4 linked regions of the Macaca fascicularis genome follow. The protein of the gene in region 3 interacts with the protein of the main gene of each other region in a pairwise test. Links are inferred from orthologs where the notes say so. Each region holds a gene or a part of one and is shown on either strand. Other genes may lie near its edges.

Region 1 (4,308 bases), on a different chromosome or scaffold from region 3:
TACATTGAACAAAAAATACTCATTATTATGAAATAAGCTATAATTTTAATTTCATTGAAAAAAGAAGAAGAAAATGAGTGTTATTCCAGACACTAATTCTACTCTGAGAAGAAGTAAAGCAATGTGTTTAAGGTTTGGATATATGAAGAAAAACATGTTAATAAATAAGATCTATTCTTTTTTACTTTGAATATACTGTATTTTACACTATCTATTACAATGTGAATTTTATATATGCTTTTCACCCATTGAAATGAAACTTATACAATGCCTTTACTTGATAATAACTTGGTGATTCCATAGTTTTAAGACTATTTGGTCGCTGTGTGTTTGTTGATATCACATATCAAAAAGAAACAGAGGAAAGTCAGTGCATCCCCAGTGTCATTCCTGGCCACCTCACATGTCTCATTTGTGAATAGGTAGTATTCAATGCAAATCAGTGATGACATTTTCTCTGAGAATGCAAAAGATAATCTTCTCTAAGTAGATTTAAGAAAATGTAGGAGATAGAAAAGCATAAGTGTTGAATATGAGAGCAGCTAATTTAAATGTAAAAATTACCCCTTATTTGCAGTGTCAGTCTCTCTTCTCTCAATTCCCAAAGGAAATGCGTGGCCCAACTGACAGAATGGTGATTGGTCTGGATTTATAGAATATTGGAATGGATCTTTGGACTGTTGTCTCACTGCCTCCTCCCTGCACCCTATAATCCCGATGTCCACTTCAAACCATTCTGCTTGACTTCTGCCAGATTCACATTCCTAGAATACCAGTACAGCATAGTGGAAATAGCGCTGGAGCCAGAAATACATCTGAAATTCTGGTTCCCTCACTATCTTTATCTGTGGCTTTCAGCAAATCATTGAACATTTCTGAACATCAGGTTCCTTCATGTGCAAAATGAAAATAATGTGTAAAATATTGTTCATTTTATTGCATAGTTATAAAAATTGTGGATATGTATGTAAATCATCTTGCATGCAGCAACTGCTATTATGTATTGGCAAAATGATGATGATGATGGTGATGGTAATGATGATGAAAAGAGGCACAGAAACTCCATCTCTTTTCAGAAACTTGCAATTGGACCCTTTGTATGATATGTAAAGACCAAATTTTTCTGTGTGAAATGTTAAGATGCTCTATAAATTTTTCCTGCTCTATGTATTGAGTACAATGTCTGCTACTCACAAAGGCATATTTTTTCTGCTCCAATCAATGAATTACTCACCGTTCTTTTGTGCTATGTGCTAATTCATGTTCAAAACCCTTTTTGCCAATTACTTGTTCAAAGTAGAGTATTCCTCTTGCTTTCAGCACCTATCCAAGTTCTACTAGTTTTTCAACACTCAGTTCAAGAAGTTGAACTTTTCTTTAAAGGCTCTGGCATCTCTTTAGGACTGATATACCTGCTAAAAAGGGAATTTCTGAATATTTTGGCATTATGGCAGAATTCAATTGGTCTTGTAATATCAGCATAAGAGATATGATGACCTGAGATCATTTTTTGTATTTTAAGAATTACAGCCATAGTTTTGTGGCTCTAATAATTAGATAAAACAATCATAAATTATTTTGAAGCCACGCCCATAGTGAGGCCCAAAAACTATGTCCCAGTGATCAAGCAATTATTGACTCCAATGATAACATATGAAGTATGCAAAAGAGAGACAATGAAATGATCTATGATTTCATAAGAACATATGAGATTTTGGAAAATAAAGCAATTCACATAAAGCATTTTTCTGAATATTTTCAAATACATCACACAAACCTACATAGATACTGTGTCACTAACTTATAAATATTTCTCTCTAATTTATTGTTTTCATTAAAATATGAAATAGAATTCAGGAATATTTACTGGATATATAAGAATATTTATTGTCAATAACATATTTTACTAACAAGAGAATATTTACTCAAAAGTTGTAATAACACTATTTCCCACAAAAATGATAGCAAAAACACATTCACATTATTTTAGAAAACAGAAAAGCTGGCATTGATGTAAATAAGAACATCAATAAATACTTTATATATTTTGGTGCCTATGTTACTGACATATTTCTAATTACATTTTTAAAGAATCTTTCTTATATTGAATAAATGTACCCACTTGACACTCAATTGATAATTTATCTTTGCAGAAAACATAAGCAAATGCTTCTCGATGGTTTCCAGAGATTTTTTTCAGTTTTACAATTTATTTCTATATAACTAAACATCATTGTTATTATGCACAGGATTTTATTAGTTTATTCTGTATCCCTATCTCCTCCACATTATACACGTAACACGTAAAGAAATCAATATTCGTGCTAAGTTTGAAATATACTTTCCATTAATGAATACAATAATTTAGCATGAAGACTCAACAAATGAAAAGAACTCAAGGCACATGAGGCATAGATAGAAAGGTTTTCATAACACTTTTACTTTTTTACTGTAAGAATATAGATTCCTTCAAACACAATGACTAATTCACATTCATTTGGAACTATGAAACAAAATTTTAATATCAACATACACTATTGCTGTCTAAATGTAGAGTTGAAATTCTTACCTGAGTTTGGCTTAGTATACAGTTATTTTTTAAAGACAGGAAATGTATGACAAATTGTCAGGATGATAACACCCACAGTGGAAAAATGAAAGAGGAAAGGAAGAAATCACTTTAAAAAGAAACTCCAAATCCTTCTGCTTCCCAGCTCTACAGTAGTTTTGCTCTGCATCTTGTAAGCAACTGTCTTTGCTCCGAGAACAACACATGCTCTGCCTCAGCAGGAAAATATAAAAATTAAATAGAAAACCACAAGGTTATTAAACACTCTTACCCTCTGGGCTTGCTGGGCTGCTCCAGCGTCTCAGTTGCAGCCACATGTGTAAACAACAGAATTTCCTGCATCCTTTTCTCATCTGTACAGTTCTGGAGTCCTAGCCAACAGGATTATTTCCAGCATTAAGGGCACTCCACACAAACTCAAAAAAGATTCCCATTGGTTGTGAAATTTTATTGAAACCACTACCACAACCCCCTCTTTGGATCACCATTGAGCCAACCAAAATAAAATCATTTTTAATGTTCCCTAAGTATGGTTATCCAAAGCTTTCCATGCAAGCATTTGAAACCTGTACTGTGGATGAAAAAGAAAAAGACACCCACGCCTTCATCCCCAAGTGTACTTAATGTTTAATTACAACAGTATAACTTGTAATAATAATAGAAAAAACTAAAATAGCAAAGCAAAATAAAAGCCTAGAAAGTACCTATCTGCAAAATATTTAAAATAATTATACTGCAGATTACAAGAACAATATAAAATATTCATCCAATCTGATTTGCATTAGATTGCACAAAATCAAAAGCAAAAGAAATCATATTTAATAAAAGATTTGAGTATACAAATTATGAAACAAGAACTGTATATCAAAACCCTTGATCGTGGTCACATTGGCAGGAATGTGAGCTGTAGTCCCTGGGGTGCCCAGTGAAAGCTCCCTGGCTTTTTCCCCTTTCCCTGGGGAAAAAGAATATGAAGTAGCTTTCCAGTGACATGACTCGGCTGTCAGGAGGTGTTCTGATGGGGGTTGTCGGGGGAGGTCAAAGACCGCATAAAAGAGAGCTTCTGTGGTTGAAACTAGCAGTAAAAAATGTCCAAAGTAGAAAATAAAAAGTCAAAAGGTAACAGGATTGACTTGCTCCTTGTAAGTAGCACAAAAACAACATGTGAAATGTAGGCAATAATGTCTTCAAATTGTTTTATTTTTCACCCTTCCCTAATTTGTAGGCTTATTCTGGTGTTATCGTCTATCTCTACTTAATATTCTTTTCCCACTTACTTTCTGATGCAATGGAAAAAGTGGCCAGCTTCCTATATAAAGCCAACTGACCCATTCGAGCTAAACTTAATCATGATTCTCGCTCCTCTATCTTTGAACATTCCCTCTTGTCCGGATTTTCCCCACGAGATGTTAAATCCCATACATTCCTTGGTCAATTTCATGTATGCCGATGAACTTTACTTTCAATTCAGTCATTTTCACTTTCAGGTACCATTCCTTCCATCATGGCCAAATGATTGAAAGTTCTCCAGCCAAGAATTTTATTTAGTCTTGCATCCATCTGATTTTAATTCATCAAAGTGACTACACACACATACACACACACACACACACACACACACACACATGCATGCACATAAATATTCTATTTATTTTTAATTTTTCCAATTCACCTCAATCCTTCTTCTAGTTGACATCTACACAGCCTTTCATACTGTTCACAACCCTGCCCACATGAAG
Region 2 (4,287 bases), on a different chromosome or scaffold from region 3:
GACTTTAAAATGCTAATCATTTCATTGGAAGTGATTTTCCTGAGAATAAGATATATTTTTCTGTTATCTTTATTTTTTAACATGTTGGCCTTTTTTTCCAACAAGATGTTGTCAACTTATGACATTTGTTGATTATCCTTACTATTATTATTTTCCTTAGCAGATTTTCCATGTGCAATTCAGAGAGGGTAGGTAACTTGCCCAAACACACAGCTTAAAGTTAGACCTCAATCAGAGGCAGTTGGTTTCAGAAGCCAGGCTCTGAACCACATTAATATACCTGAAAAAAACTTGATTTTTCATGCAACTTCTATGATTACAACAACAATAATTCTGAGTAGATGAGCTAGGTCCTATCACCAAGTAACATATCCTATCCTTGCCTATCTCCCAGTCCATGGATATTCCAGCTATGGATTTTGGTGATCTGATTGTTTTCCATGTTCCTAACCCTCAAATCCTGAGGGAATATTGGATTCAGACTAGAAATTATGAAATAAGCACACAAAGCACCTTTATATATACCTCAATAACTTTTCCACCAGAAACAAAGATATTTCTTGGCTGTTTCACTGAAACATGAGGTTCTGTAGTTAGCTCATAGAGAAAAGTCAGTTACTATTAGAGTAGGTTGTTATCACCTTCTGTTCTTTTAACAATTGTCAAGTACTTTTCACATTTATCAATGTGTTCTTATCACATTCATTAACCGCTTCATACCAATATTTTAAAAATATTACTTGCTTATCCATGTATTTGAAGCTAAAACAATGATCACAATCAGATCAATCTCTAGACAATGGTTGTAATGAATTTGTTCAAGAAAAGCATTCAAATTTGATGGAAAACTGAGCCTTTATAATTCATTCTACTTCTTCAACACAAAAATGAACTTTGGTGAGTCAAGAGGATCAACTGAGGCATTTATGCTTGAATGTGCTCCCCTAGGCTTAATGTATTTTTCCTCACTGCATTATATTTTAATGATTAATTTCATGCTCTTTCATGGTGTTTCAGCTCATGAATCACGGGTATTACTTTGAGGGAAAAGTAAGGTGCTGTGAGTGATGAAAGATGTTACTGATTAAAGTGTTGCACATATGAACTACATAAGAGCTGAAGGTGTTTGAACACCAGGAATCTAGACTAAAAGTAGTATTAGGCAAACTGGCCGTGTGGACTAAAGTTGAATTCAGTGGAGGGAGTGGAAAGGATGTGATTCTTAAATGTTCTTAGTTGAAACAATATATGAAATCAAGCTGGGCATTCAATGTTTCACTGGCATCTTTCTCCTCAGTAGAATGTAAGAACTGATTTCAAAGACAACTGCAGAGAAAGAAATCAGTTAAGCAGATAACACACTATTCTGAAATTAAACAGCCAAAAGCCACCCATCCTAAGACAACTCTGATATCTGAAATCAATACTGCCGTAATACTGCCAAAAGTTTGTTTTTCAACTTATTTAAAAAAAAAAAAAAAGTTAAGTCAAAGTCACAAGGACCAAAAAGGAATAGACTACCCTAAATGAAATACAGAAAAAGACAAGTATCTCTTATCCTGCACACAGATGAACAAATATCTGCTAAATATATCATATTGCTCAATATCAAAAAGTCAACTCTCCATAACAGAAACCAAAAGTAAACTAACTAGAGATGTCTACATAATACACTTTGGCTCTTGTTACTAAAATGATTTTTCAAACCAAGTTAGGGAGCTGGAGAAAACAGGACTACCTCCTCCCAGAATATAAAGTTTCTTCAATCAATTACAGAGGCAAAATGTGGCCACAGCAGCTATTTTGCAAACAGGTGGTTTGCAAAACTTTTACTTAAGCCGCCAAAAGGACTGACGAAAGGAAAATTTTGTTATTTCTAAAGAAAACACCCACACACACACATAATTTTCTACCAGAGTAGAAGACTCAAATAAAGAAAAGCCCCAAACAAAACGGAAAACTAAAAAGCAGTTTGTCTTAGCTCAAAAGTGCTGACTTTGGTTTAGTATGTGTAAAATCACTGTTTATAATTAAATCCTTTTCATCGCATGTATTAAGGTACTAGAGAGAAAGGCAATGCCATGTCGTTTCAGGTAGGACCTTATTTACAGAAAAAAAAAAAAAAAAGATGATTTTTTTCTTTTTAACAGAAACGGAGTGCAAGAGGGAATCAAAAACCGTTGAGAGGAGAGAAAAATACATTTGTTTTTCTGAGGGCACTGCATTTTTCATGTTCTGAATACTTTGTTCCACTCTCTCCATGTTAAATTATTTCATAAATAATACTATGGCTAGAGGCGACTGCTACAGCTGACACACAGATGTTTTATTTCTATATTTCACCTTTGCAAACAGCAGGATTCAGCTCCTGGAGATGGGGGCAGTGGAGAGGTGTCCAGAAACGACATACAGGAGGTGAAGGGGTAAAACGTGTGGGAAACAGGAGCTCCTACCCCCTAGAGTCCACCTCTCTGGAATTCCGGTGCTTCTTCAGTCACTGACATTCGGGGCAGGACAAGACATGATTCCTGAAATCTCTTCCGAAGTAAACAGGTCCCGACGCAAAGGGCACCCCCTCCAGTTGCGGAAAGTCCTCCCCTTCGCTCCCCGCCTGCCCACGCGGGTCTCTGGCTCCGCGCTCTTCCGCCTCCCCCGCAGATCTCCCACGGGGGAAACTTTCCCGCGTCTCTCACTCTCCAGGCCGCTGTGGCCGCGGGGACCTCCCCGGCACCGACCAGCAGGGCACCCCCCACCATCCCGCCACCACCGACGAACCAGGCGAAGTCCGTACCTCGATGTCCGCCGAGTCCTTACTGAGCACAGGGGCCATGGCAGTGCCTACAGTCTCGAGTCTGCCAGTGACAGACCCTCCTTGCGTCCTCAAGCTCCAGCCAGAGAGCCAAGTGACAGCAGCCGGAGCGCGAGTGGAAAATAGGCAGACTAGGGCCGGCGGCGCGGGGGCGGAGCGGGCGCGGAGCGGGCGCGGGGCGGCAACGCCCCCGGGGCGGGGCTGCGCGCTCGGTCCTGCGGCTCCCGCGCCAGGCACAGCAGCCGCAGTCCGGCCTTCCCAGTTCAGCCCGCTCCGCGCCCCAGCCTGGAAGCTTGTTTTCCTTCTGCAAGCGGAAGGGAGGGAGGGAGTACAGCACCCGCTCCGGGGACTGGCCTTTACTCTCTAAACTGCTAAAAACTGAGCTAGGCAGGCGGGGCCAGATACGAGGAATCCCCGGGATTAAAGGTAAAAGCAGTCCGCGCTCCAAGCAACAGCTTGCACTTTTTCTTTTCTTCGGCACAAACCCCGCGAGATGTAGATACATTGTCGGAGGGGCAACTGCATCTTCAGGAACTCCTCAGGGATGAAGTAGTAGATGTTCCTCCATCCATCCACCAAGTAGGCGGGCGGGGTTTGAACTGCAGTGGAGGATAACAGAGCATGGGTCTTCAGAGAGTTCACAGTCCCTGCGGGGAGGGGAGGGAGGCGAGCAAAAACATCCACAGCCCGCAGCAGCATACAGGAAGTGCCGCAGGTGGTACATAATCAAGGTTGTCTTTTTGCAGGAAAATCCCATTTTAATGGTCATTTTTAAAAATATATTTTTATTCTAAAATGTGAAGCTCTTTTGAAAAGTTGCTCTTCATTTTTGCTCCAGAGCTTGCTGAGGAAAAGGGAGAGATTTCCTGTAGAGTTGGTCCCAATCCAGAAAACATTCACCTTGTTTTTGAGGATCTCTGTACTCCAGACCTCTCTCCTTTTCTTCCCGTCCCACCCCCGTTAGATGCATCCCACATCTCTTCTACCATAACACTTTCTGTTAGGACATTTGCGGCACTCCTTCATGCTTTTGGCTAGACAGTGACACCTTGGAGTCAGGTATTTTTCCCTTATCATTATTTTTTCATTAGGTCATTCATCGCTTTATTCAACAAATATGTTTATTGAGCATTTTCAATATGCCAGTCACAGACACTGTGCTAGGTTCTCCGGATATAATCTTCAGGAATACACATCACTCTCATGGAGATTATACTCAGAATAAGCAAGTAAGCAAAATGTGATGCCTGCTTGTAAGATGAAAGAATAATAGGACAGAATAGCTAGGGCATGGGTACCTTAAGTGGTTGAGAAGGCTTCTCTGAACCATCAGATTGCCTTCCAGACCTGGAACTTACTAAGAAATGGATACATTTTTCTTGAATCAAATATTAAGAGACACTAGAAAGTTAAATGGAAACCTTAGAATCATCTTTGACTCCTTTATCCTCATTGCCTCATTTAATCTATGCCCAAAC
Region 3 (4,233 bases):
TCCTTAGGTCATTTTAAAAATAAATATTGTTTCATTTAAAAAAAGTTGTTAATGCCCAGTTGATACTGCAGTTGTAAATGATATGAAATTTCTCATGTGATGTTTTAGTCCACTTTCTGTTGACAGAATACCAGAAACTAGGTAATTTATAAATAAAAGGAATTTATTTCTTACAGTTATGGAGACAGAGAAGTCCAAGGTCGAGGGGCCAGATCTCGAGAAGTCGAGAGCCTTCTTGCTGGCAGGGGATCTGTGCAGAGTATGGAGGCAGCATAGGGTGTCACATGGCAAGGGGGCTGAGCATGCTAACATGCTTACTCAGGTCTCTCTTCCTCTTCTTATAAGCCACCACTTTTACACTCCTATGATAACTCATTCATCCATTAATCCAATAACAAATCAATCTATGAGTGGATTAATCCATTCATAAGAACTGAGTACTCATAATCCACTCTCCTGTTAAAGGCCCCATATTGGAGATTCAGTACTGTCACATTGGGGATTAAGTTTCCCATACACGAAATTTGGGGGACACATTCAAATTATATCATGTGGCAAAAGCTACTTTTGATCGTTGTTGTTTAAAGCTAGAGAACTAATGACCGGGCACAGCTGGCTCATGTCTGTAATCAAAGCACTTTGGGAGGCCGAGGCAGGAGGGTGATCACTTGAGGCCAGGAATTCAAGACCAACCTGGGCAACAAAGCACTCCATCTCTTTTTTTTTTAAATACAGTAAGATAAAATAAAATGAAATAAAGTTAAAGTACTATTTCTATAAAACATTAAATGTAATTTCACTATCAGAATGAAATCAGAAAAATAGCTTTCTTGTGAAAATTAATACTAATAAAGAAATCAAGAGATGTTTTCATTTACCTACAGTAAGAAGTGATTACCTTCATATTAGCACTTTTTTTTTTTTTTTTTTTGAGATGGAGTCTTGCTCTGTCACCCAGGCTGGAGTGCAGTGGCCAGATCTCAGCTCACTGCAAGTTCCGCCTCCCGGGTTTACGCCATTCTCCTGCCTCAGCCTCCCGAGTAGCTGGGACTACAGGCGCCCGCCACCGCGCCCGGCTAGTTTTTTGTATTTTTAGTAGAGACGGGGTTTCACCGTGTTAGCCAGGATGGTCTCGATCTCCTGACCTCGTGATCCGCCCGCCTCGGCCTCCCAAAGTGCTGGGATTACAGGCTTGAGCCACCGCGCCCGGCCATATTAGCACTTTCTAATCTTTTCAAAAAGGATAGAAGAAATTAACAGTTCTTGCAGTGGAGAAGAGCCACAATTCTTGGATATGTACATCTATGTTAATCAAGGATTAATTATGCCACATACTTCATGGCTAATAGGAGAAAAAGAATGCTGACCACTAGGCAAGGAGAGGATGTTTATCTGACATTCATATTGATATAGATACAATGGGCACTCTCAATGACAACGAGTAATGATTTCTTAGGAAAGCTAATGTTCGAAGAGTTTTGCACATCACTGATTATCCCATTTTTATCTATTATACTTTTTGAAAAGAAAGACCCATTCTCTTAAATTGCCTAGTTAGAAAATACTCTTTATGCAATAATGTTAATCTATCTTGATTTATAAATATTGTAATAATGCCCTTTTTAAATTTTCTGCACAACGTGATAGTTTTTTGTTTTGAATCACAGCCACTCCACCCTCACCCACACCCAGCATCAGAGATTAAAGCAAATGATGCTTTATACTCTCTCAAAAATAAATCTAGACTTTGGAAAATTACACAGTAATGTACAAGCATATAAAAACTCAATGTCAGAAGTAATTTCAATAATTGCAGGAAGCTCTCTGGAGGTATCTGCCTGTAATTTAAGGACCAACTATGGATGTAAACCGAGACAATGATACTATCGTTATGCACCACGAAATTTTCCTAAGAGCTTTGATCAGATTCCCCTAAATAGTTTATGCATGTCTCTGTATGCAGTAATAGGCGCTGACCTGAAATATTTAAAATGAAAATAATCAGGGCTGTATCTGTCTGAACATATACAAATTCGGTTTATCAATGTGAAAGTAGATCTGCAAAACTCAATTGTCAAAAGGTGGCCTACGGTATTTTCATGACAGAGAATCTTTGTTAGGTTTGTTAATGTAACACGTAAAAGGGGGGCTAGTGTATGTAATTAGTTTCCGCCTCAGAGAGATACTAGGAAGGTGGACGACAGTACCCCGGGGAGACTCACGTGTCGGTCTAGGGCCCTTTTTGTCCCCCACCCTCACCTCACTCCTCTCCTTCGCACACACAGACATGCACTCTCCCATCACATTTGGAAGCCCCGGTGGGCAGTTTTCTAGGGTCGTTTCACTGGAGCGTTAAATGGGATCTGACGCCACCGGGCAGCCCGGGGTTGGATGCCATAGCCGCCAGCGCCCACGGCTCACCTCCAGCTTGTGGTTGATTTGAGACACAGACTGGGCTTTGTGGCAAAGCTGTGCAAAGCAGGAGCTCAGGCTGGTCATCTTCTGTCGCCCCTCATAAGTGATGTCCGCCTGGTCTGGATCGATCTCGCCCAGGAGCAGATCCACATCCACAAAAGCCTTGTCGAACTCCTTCTCCAGCACCTCCAGCCACCGGAACATGGATACCCCGCCGGGGGCCCCGGCGGAGCAGGAGGCGCCCCCTGGGCCCCCTCCGGCTGCTGCTGGGCATGGACCGCCCGCCGACATGGCGCCGTCAAGGGCCTCTCCCGACTGCTGAAGACCCTCTCCGCCCCACCCGCACGAAGGGAACTGCTGGGACTGAGGGGACCCCCCGCGCGCGCGCGCGCACCTTCCGTCACCTCTCTTCACCTCGCGCCGTTAACGCCAGCAACACAGCCACAGAACCGCAGGAGTAACGAGGCTGAGGCTGAGGCGGCAGCGGCGGCGACACACGGAAGATTCTGTCTGTCCCACCTCCCAGCTTGCCCCCGCTGCGCATGCGTAGCGAAGAGCTGGGCGGACGCAGCCTGGAGGGACAAAATGGGCGGGGCCAGGATGCGACCTTGGCCTATGAAAGGCCTCAGCTTGGGACCTGCCTGTTAGCCGCCATATTAACAACTGGCAAACTACGGCTTGAATCCCTGAGAAACGGAGCCGCGTGGTTTCTGCATCCTGGTTGGAAAGGCCCGAGGATGAGAAAGGTGTCCACGTCGCAGAAAGGAAGGATTTCCGCCGGTTTGACTTAACAGTTGGCGGGAGCTATTCCAAAGTCCTCCCAGAAAGTTGCTGCGGTGGCGTCTAGGGTCAGGGAGGGGAGAGCAAGGAAGGGCGGTGTGAGCATGCGCAATAGCCACGTTTTACCTTTTGGATTCCAGTTCCTGGTTAGGATGGAGTGGGCGTACACCCTGGCTGTTCTTGGTAAACCAACCCCAAATTCCAGGTGTGGACTGCCTAACGCTGCGCATTGAAGCGGCTGACCAGATTTTGCGGAATTAATAGAAAACTTTTTGTATTGTGATTAAGGGTCAGGTAGACCTGGTGAACGTTCAGTTCTTACCCTCTGTCACATACTACCTGTGTCACCTTACATGTCTTAGTTAACCTCGAAACCAAGTTTCCAAATTTTACTTAACTCAGTTAGTTGTAAGATAAACTCTTAGCGTCACTTCTTGGCACACGGTATTCCTCTTAATACGCCATAGGTCACACATTTCAAAAGCAACTACAGTAGTGCTTCACTTAAGATGGGGATATGTTCTTAGGAATGTGTCCTTAGGTTAATCATCCCCTAGGGAACATCCTAGAGTGTATTTAAACACAAACCTAGATAGTATAGCCTACTACACACCCAGGCTGTATGATGTAGCCTATTGCTCTTAGGCTGTAAACCTGTACAGCATGTTGCCATTCTGAATACGGTAGGCAATTACAATACAGTGGTAACTATTTGTGTATTTAAACTTACCTAAACATAGAAAAGGTACAGTAAAAACATGGCATATACTCTTATAGGATCACCATAGTTTATGTGATCCATTCATGGCTGAAGCCTTGTTATTTGGCACATTTGAAAACGTACGGCGTTCCCACACGTGACATTTCAGAAAATCAAAATTGTGAATTCATATATTTACAAATATATTGAATGCAGAACTCTGTTGCGACACTGAAGACACAAAAATGAATGAGACATGACCTTTACTCAAGACAGGCTAGTGAGGCTACTAACTCTCAACTATAACTTTAACTTGAATTTTTCAGTGCCTTTAAAAG
Region 4 (4,354 bases), on a different chromosome or scaffold from region 3:
GAAAGGAGAGAGAGAGGAGGCGAGGGATGGCTCCGGACGCCGGAGGGTAGAGGAGGCGGCGGCTGGAACAAAGCGTTGCCCGGGCAGGGGCTCGGCTGAGCTGGGAGATGCTCGGCAGCAGCCACGCCCTGGAACCGCAGCGGACCCGGGGCCGATGCCCCGCCTCTGGGTCCAGCGGGGCTCCTCCAGCCTCCTGCGCAGCCCCACCCCCAAGTCGTCCCCAGCCACGCCCACGCCCCTGGCCAGCCTTTCCCAGCCCCTCAGTCGCAGCCGCCTCCTCCTGCGCTGGACTTGGAGGAAGGGGGTCGAAAATGAGATGACAGTCTCCGTTCTCCACCTCCTCTTCCCCGCCCCGCGTGACACCAGTACGTGGGAGCAACACCGCTGCGTGCCCCCTCCCTACTAAGTGGTTAAAACAATCATCATAACTCTTAAGGCCCTTTTATGCCTGTTTCTCAGCTAGACCTCACAACATGCCTCTGGGGTGGGAATCGGTGTTCCATTCCACAGCTGACTCCACTGAAGCCCATGAGGAAGAGATTGGCCAAAATCACAGTCCCCTCTGATTACAGAACAGAAAAATCAGCTAAAATCTCAGGATCACTTTTTTTTTCAGGTGATGGCAGGACTTCAGAAGCTCTGTGGACACCTGAAATTGGGCACAAAATCAGGTGTTTCACGCCAGTGGGCATTTTCCAGGTAGAGGGATCGTATTTCTCTTGAGAGTCTAAAAGTGTGAACAAGCCCACTCTTTACAGATGGGAAGACTGAGGCTGGGGACAGGGAGTGACCTGCTCAGAAAAGACTCAGAAATCAAATCTAGTTCAGTGGGTTGATATTTACCCAAATTTCCAGCCTGGGGAGATTGATGCACCCAAGCGAAGAACCCAGAAATGAAACTTTGTTCTTTTATGCTAAAAAAGAAAATTCCCCAGAGTGCTTACAAATTCTCCTCCCACTCCCTTTTTCCTGCCCTAAATAAACAATGGCGAATGAGCACCCAGCCAGGGATGTGTCTGATCAAACAATCATGGATCAATAGCCATGTTTGGAGAAGGAATTTGTGACTGCTCCAGCTACTGGGCATTTTGTCTGTTCCAGTTCATGTAATCTCCCAACACCCCATGAGGCAAGGGGGTTAATCCCATTTTACTGAAACTGAACTAAGACTCAGAGAGATAAAGCTGTTGCCCAATGAGCCTTCTTTCTGGCCTCCAGATCCGCGGTGCTAATTCCCCTTCTGATGACCTAATGATTCTGAGCTTGGCAAAGGTCTTATCTCCCAGCTCTCCCAGGCCCAGTGTTCCAGGAATGTGACCTTTGCTGCAGCAGCCGCTGGAGGGGGCAGAGGGGATGGGCTGGAGGTTGAGCAAACAGAGCAGCAGAAAAGGCAGTTCCTCTTCTTCAGTCCCCTCCCTCCCTGTCTCTGCCTCTCCCTCCCTTCCTCAGGCATCAGGGAGGAGACTTCAGGGAGATCAGAGCCCAGCTTGCCAGGCACTGAGCTAGAAGTCCCACCATGGCACCCCTGAGACCCCTTCTCATGCTGGCCCTGCTGGCATGGGTTGCTGTGGCTGACCAAGGTACAGGGGGGTGTTGGTGGCCATCTGAGTCAATGTAGGGAGGGTGAGGGTGGCCCGGGCTTGGCAGCACCTACTGACACCCCTTCCTCAAAGAGTCATGCAAGGGCCGCTGCACTGAGGGCTTCAATGCTGACAAGAAGTGCCAGTGTGATGAGCTCTGCTCTTACTACCAGAGCTGCTGCACAGACTATACGGCTGAGTGCAAGCCCCAAGGTGTGTTCAGAGCCCAGGTGGGTGGGCTGGGGTGCCCCTTGCAGCTGGAGACTCACTACCATCCACTCTCTGCAGTGACTCGTGGGGATGTGTTCACTATGCCGGAGGATGAGTATGTGACCTATGACTACGGTGAGGAGAAAAACAATGCCACCATCCATGAACAGCCGGAGGGCTCCTCCCCGAGCCCTGACCTCCAGGCCCAGCCCGAAGGGAATCCTGAGCAGGCAACTGTTCTGAACCCTGAGGAAGAATCCCCTGCACCTGAGGTGGGCATCTCTAAGCCTGAGGGGACGGGCTCAAGGCCCGAGACCCTTCGTCCAGGGACCCCTGAGCTCCCAGCAGAGGAGGAGCTATGCAGTGGGAAACCCTTCGACGCCTTCACCGACCTCAAGAACGGTTCCCTCTTTGCCTTCCGAGGTGAATCCAGGGCAGGTATTGGGGATGGGGGTCTGCCCCAGGAGCGTCCCCGCTCTCACACCACCTCCTCCACTGTAGGGCAGTACTGCTATGAACTGGATGAAAAGGCAGTGAGGCCTGGGTACCCCAAGCTCATCCGAGATGTCTGGGGCATCGAGGGCCCCATTGATGCCGCCTTCACCCGCATCAACTGTCAGGGGAAGACCTACCTCTTCAAGGTGCCAGCAGCTGTGGACCAGGGTAGAAAGCATCTAGGGAGGGTTTGAGAGCTATTGCTCCCAGGGACAGGGTGGACAGGGAGGCTGGACCCAGGGCGCTGCAGGACCTGGTGGGCGCTCTGTGAGCACAGGGCAGCCCCAAGACTCCAGGTCCTGGGCAGTGAACCTGAACCTGGGAACGGCTGCCTTAGGGCAAGGGACTCTGCCTCTGTGCCTAGCCAGCAGCCTCCATACCCCTTTTCACTTTCCCCACCTCTTAGGGTAGTCAGTACTGGCGCTTTGAGGATGGTGTCCTGGACCCTGATTACCCCCGAAATATCTCTGATGGCTTCGATGGCATGCCAGACAATGTGGACGCAGCCTTGGCCCTCCCTGCCCATAGCTACAGTGGCAGGGAGCGGGTCTACTTCTTCAAGGGTACTCAGGGGGTGGGTGGGAGACTGAGCAGGCAGTGGAGCAGTCTTGGATTCCTTTCACACTTCACTGGGGACAGGCCTCAGCATGTGCCCACCCCATACCCCCACCTCATGCTGGGAGATCCTAACTTCAACAGCCTCTGGGATCTCCAGTCTGGCTCTGGCCCAGCCCTCCTAATGCCCACCACCCCGCTCCCCAGGGAAACAGTACTGGGAGTACCAGTTCCAGCACCAGCCCAGTCAGGAGGAGTGTGAAGGCAGCTCCCGGTCGGCTGTGTTTGAGCACTTTGCCGTGATGCAGCGGGACAGCTGGGAGGACATCTTCGAGCTTCTTTTCTGGGGCAGAACCTCTGGTATGGAGAGAGGGCAAGTCTTTCTTCTCCTTCAAAAGGGCTGAAACCCCTGGCTAGTGGTAGAGCCAGGTTGGCTGGAGGGGGCTGTGGTTGTGGAGCTATCGATCAAAGTCTATTTGCTCAGGCCAGACTTTGCTTCTGTTGACCTTTTGGGGGAAGCTCGGCTCTACCTGGACCCCACACCTTGGACTTTGCCTAGCACAGCCGAGGGCACAGCCAGCAGAGGGAGGGGCTATGGCTGAGGAGTTTAGGGGGCCTGGGGGTGGGGTGGGGTCTAGACACCAGTGATATGGTGGAGGGAGCACACAGTGAAGGGCATTGGACTGAGAATCAAAGGCCTGGCTCTGCCATTCGCTGCTGTGTGTCTTTGGGCAAGATGCAGCAGATGAACTCTAATGACCTTGCTGGAGGGGGCAAGATTCAGACCCCTAAGACCTCTCATTCACCCCTTCCCTGCCACAGCTGGTATGAGACAGCCCCAGTTCATTAGCCGGGACTGGCATGGTGTGCCAGGGCAAGTGGACGCAGCCATGGCTGGCCGCATCTACGTCTCAGGCATGGCACCCCACCCCTCCTTGGCCAAGAAGCAAAAGTTTAGGCGTCGCAACCGCAAAGGCTACCGTTCAGACCGAGGCCACAGCCGTGGCCGCAACCAGAACTCCCGCCGGCCATCCCGCCCCACGTGGCGGCTGTCCTTGTTCTCCAGTGAGGAGAGTAACTTGGGAGCCAACAACTATGATGACTACAGGATGGACTGGCTTGTGCCTGCCACCTGTGAACCCATCCAGAGTGTCTTCTTCTTCTCTGGAGGTAGGAGCCCTTGCCACCCCTGAAGCTGCTCTAGCTTGGGTTTTCCTTGCTGTCCCTGGTCCATAAGGGCTGAATACAGCCCGCAGGTAGTGACCACAGAAAGCCGGGCCAGAAGTCCTTAGCTGCATCGTGGATGTTCACTTTCCTTTCTGAGACTTTCTTAAGGGAAGAGTGGGCAGGGCCAGGCTGGGCCTCACGCACCCTCTGCTTTCCTCTCTTCCAGACAAGTACTACCGAGTCAACCTTCGCACACGGCGAGTGGACGCTGTGGACCCTCCCTACCCACGCTCCATCGCCCAGTACTGGCTGGGCTGCCCAGCTCCTGGCCATCTGTAGGAGGCAGA

The links.
Region 1: the proteins of GOPC (region 3) and CCDC102B interact in binary tests that used the Homo sapiens proteins (3 or more experiments, as listed by UniProt). The two-hybrid records come from large-scale screens. The link is inferred for Macaca fascicularis from reciprocal best matches to the Homo sapiens genes GOPC and CCDC102B.
Region 2: the proteins of GOPC (region 3) and DPYD interact in a two-hybrid assay, tested with the Homo sapiens proteins (2 studies listed by BioGRID and IntAct). The link is inferred for Macaca fascicularis from reciprocal best matches to the Homo sapiens genes GOPC and DPYD.
Region 4: the proteins of GOPC (region 3) and VTN interact in binary tests that used the Homo sapiens proteins (3 or more experiments, as listed by UniProt). The two-hybrid records come from large-scale screens. The link is inferred for Macaca fascicularis from reciprocal best matches to the Homo sapiens genes GOPC and VTN.

The regions. Positions count from the first base shown.
Region 1 is NC_088392.1:11,861,824-11,866,131, forward strand, and holds the start of CCDC102B (coiled-coil domain-containing protein 102B), read right to left. Parts: upstream 2,943-4,308; 5' UTR 2,841-2,942; exon of another isoform or gene 2,570-2,840; intron 1-2,569. UniProt on the Homo sapiens protein: During interphase, forms fibers at the proximal ends of centrioles to maintain centrosome cohesion. During mitosis, dissociates from the centrosome following phosphorylation to allow centrosome separation. Contributes to CROCC/rootletin filament formation.
Region 2 is NC_088375.1:136,472,225-136,476,511, reverse strand, and holds the start of DPYD (dihydropyrimidine dehydrogenase [NADP(+)]), read right to left. Parts: upstream 2,943-4,287; 5' UTR 2,831-2,942; coding exon 2,792-2,830; intron 2,564-2,791; exon of another isoform or gene 2,344-2,563; intron 1-2,343.
Region 3 is NC_088378.1:21,560,834-21,565,066, forward strand, and holds the start of GOPC (Golgi-associated PDZ and coiled-coil motif-containing protein), read right to left. Parts: upstream 2,928-4,233; 5' UTR 2,707-2,927; coding exon 2,422-2,706; intron 251-2,421; exon of another isoform or gene 175-250; intron 1-174.
Region 4 is NC_088390.1:33,829,525-33,833,878, reverse strand, and holds the start of VTN (vitronectin), read left to right. Parts: upstream 1-1,412; 5' UTR 1,413-1,516; coding exon 1,517-1,580; intron 1,581-1,673; coding exon 1,674-1,793; intron 1,794-1,868; coding exon 1,869-2,213; intron 2,214-2,291; coding exon 2,292-2,431; intron 2,432-2,691; coding exon 2,692-2,848; intron 2,849-3,047; coding exon 3,048-3,200; intron 3,201-3,662; coding exon 3,663-4,010; intron 4,011-4,233; coding exon 4,234-4,346; 3' UTR 4,347-4,354. UniProt on the Homo sapiens protein: Vitronectin is a cell adhesion and spreading factor found in serum and tissues. Vitronectin interact with glycosaminoglycans and proteoglycans. Is recognized by certain members of the integrin family and serves as a cell-to-substrate adhesion molecule.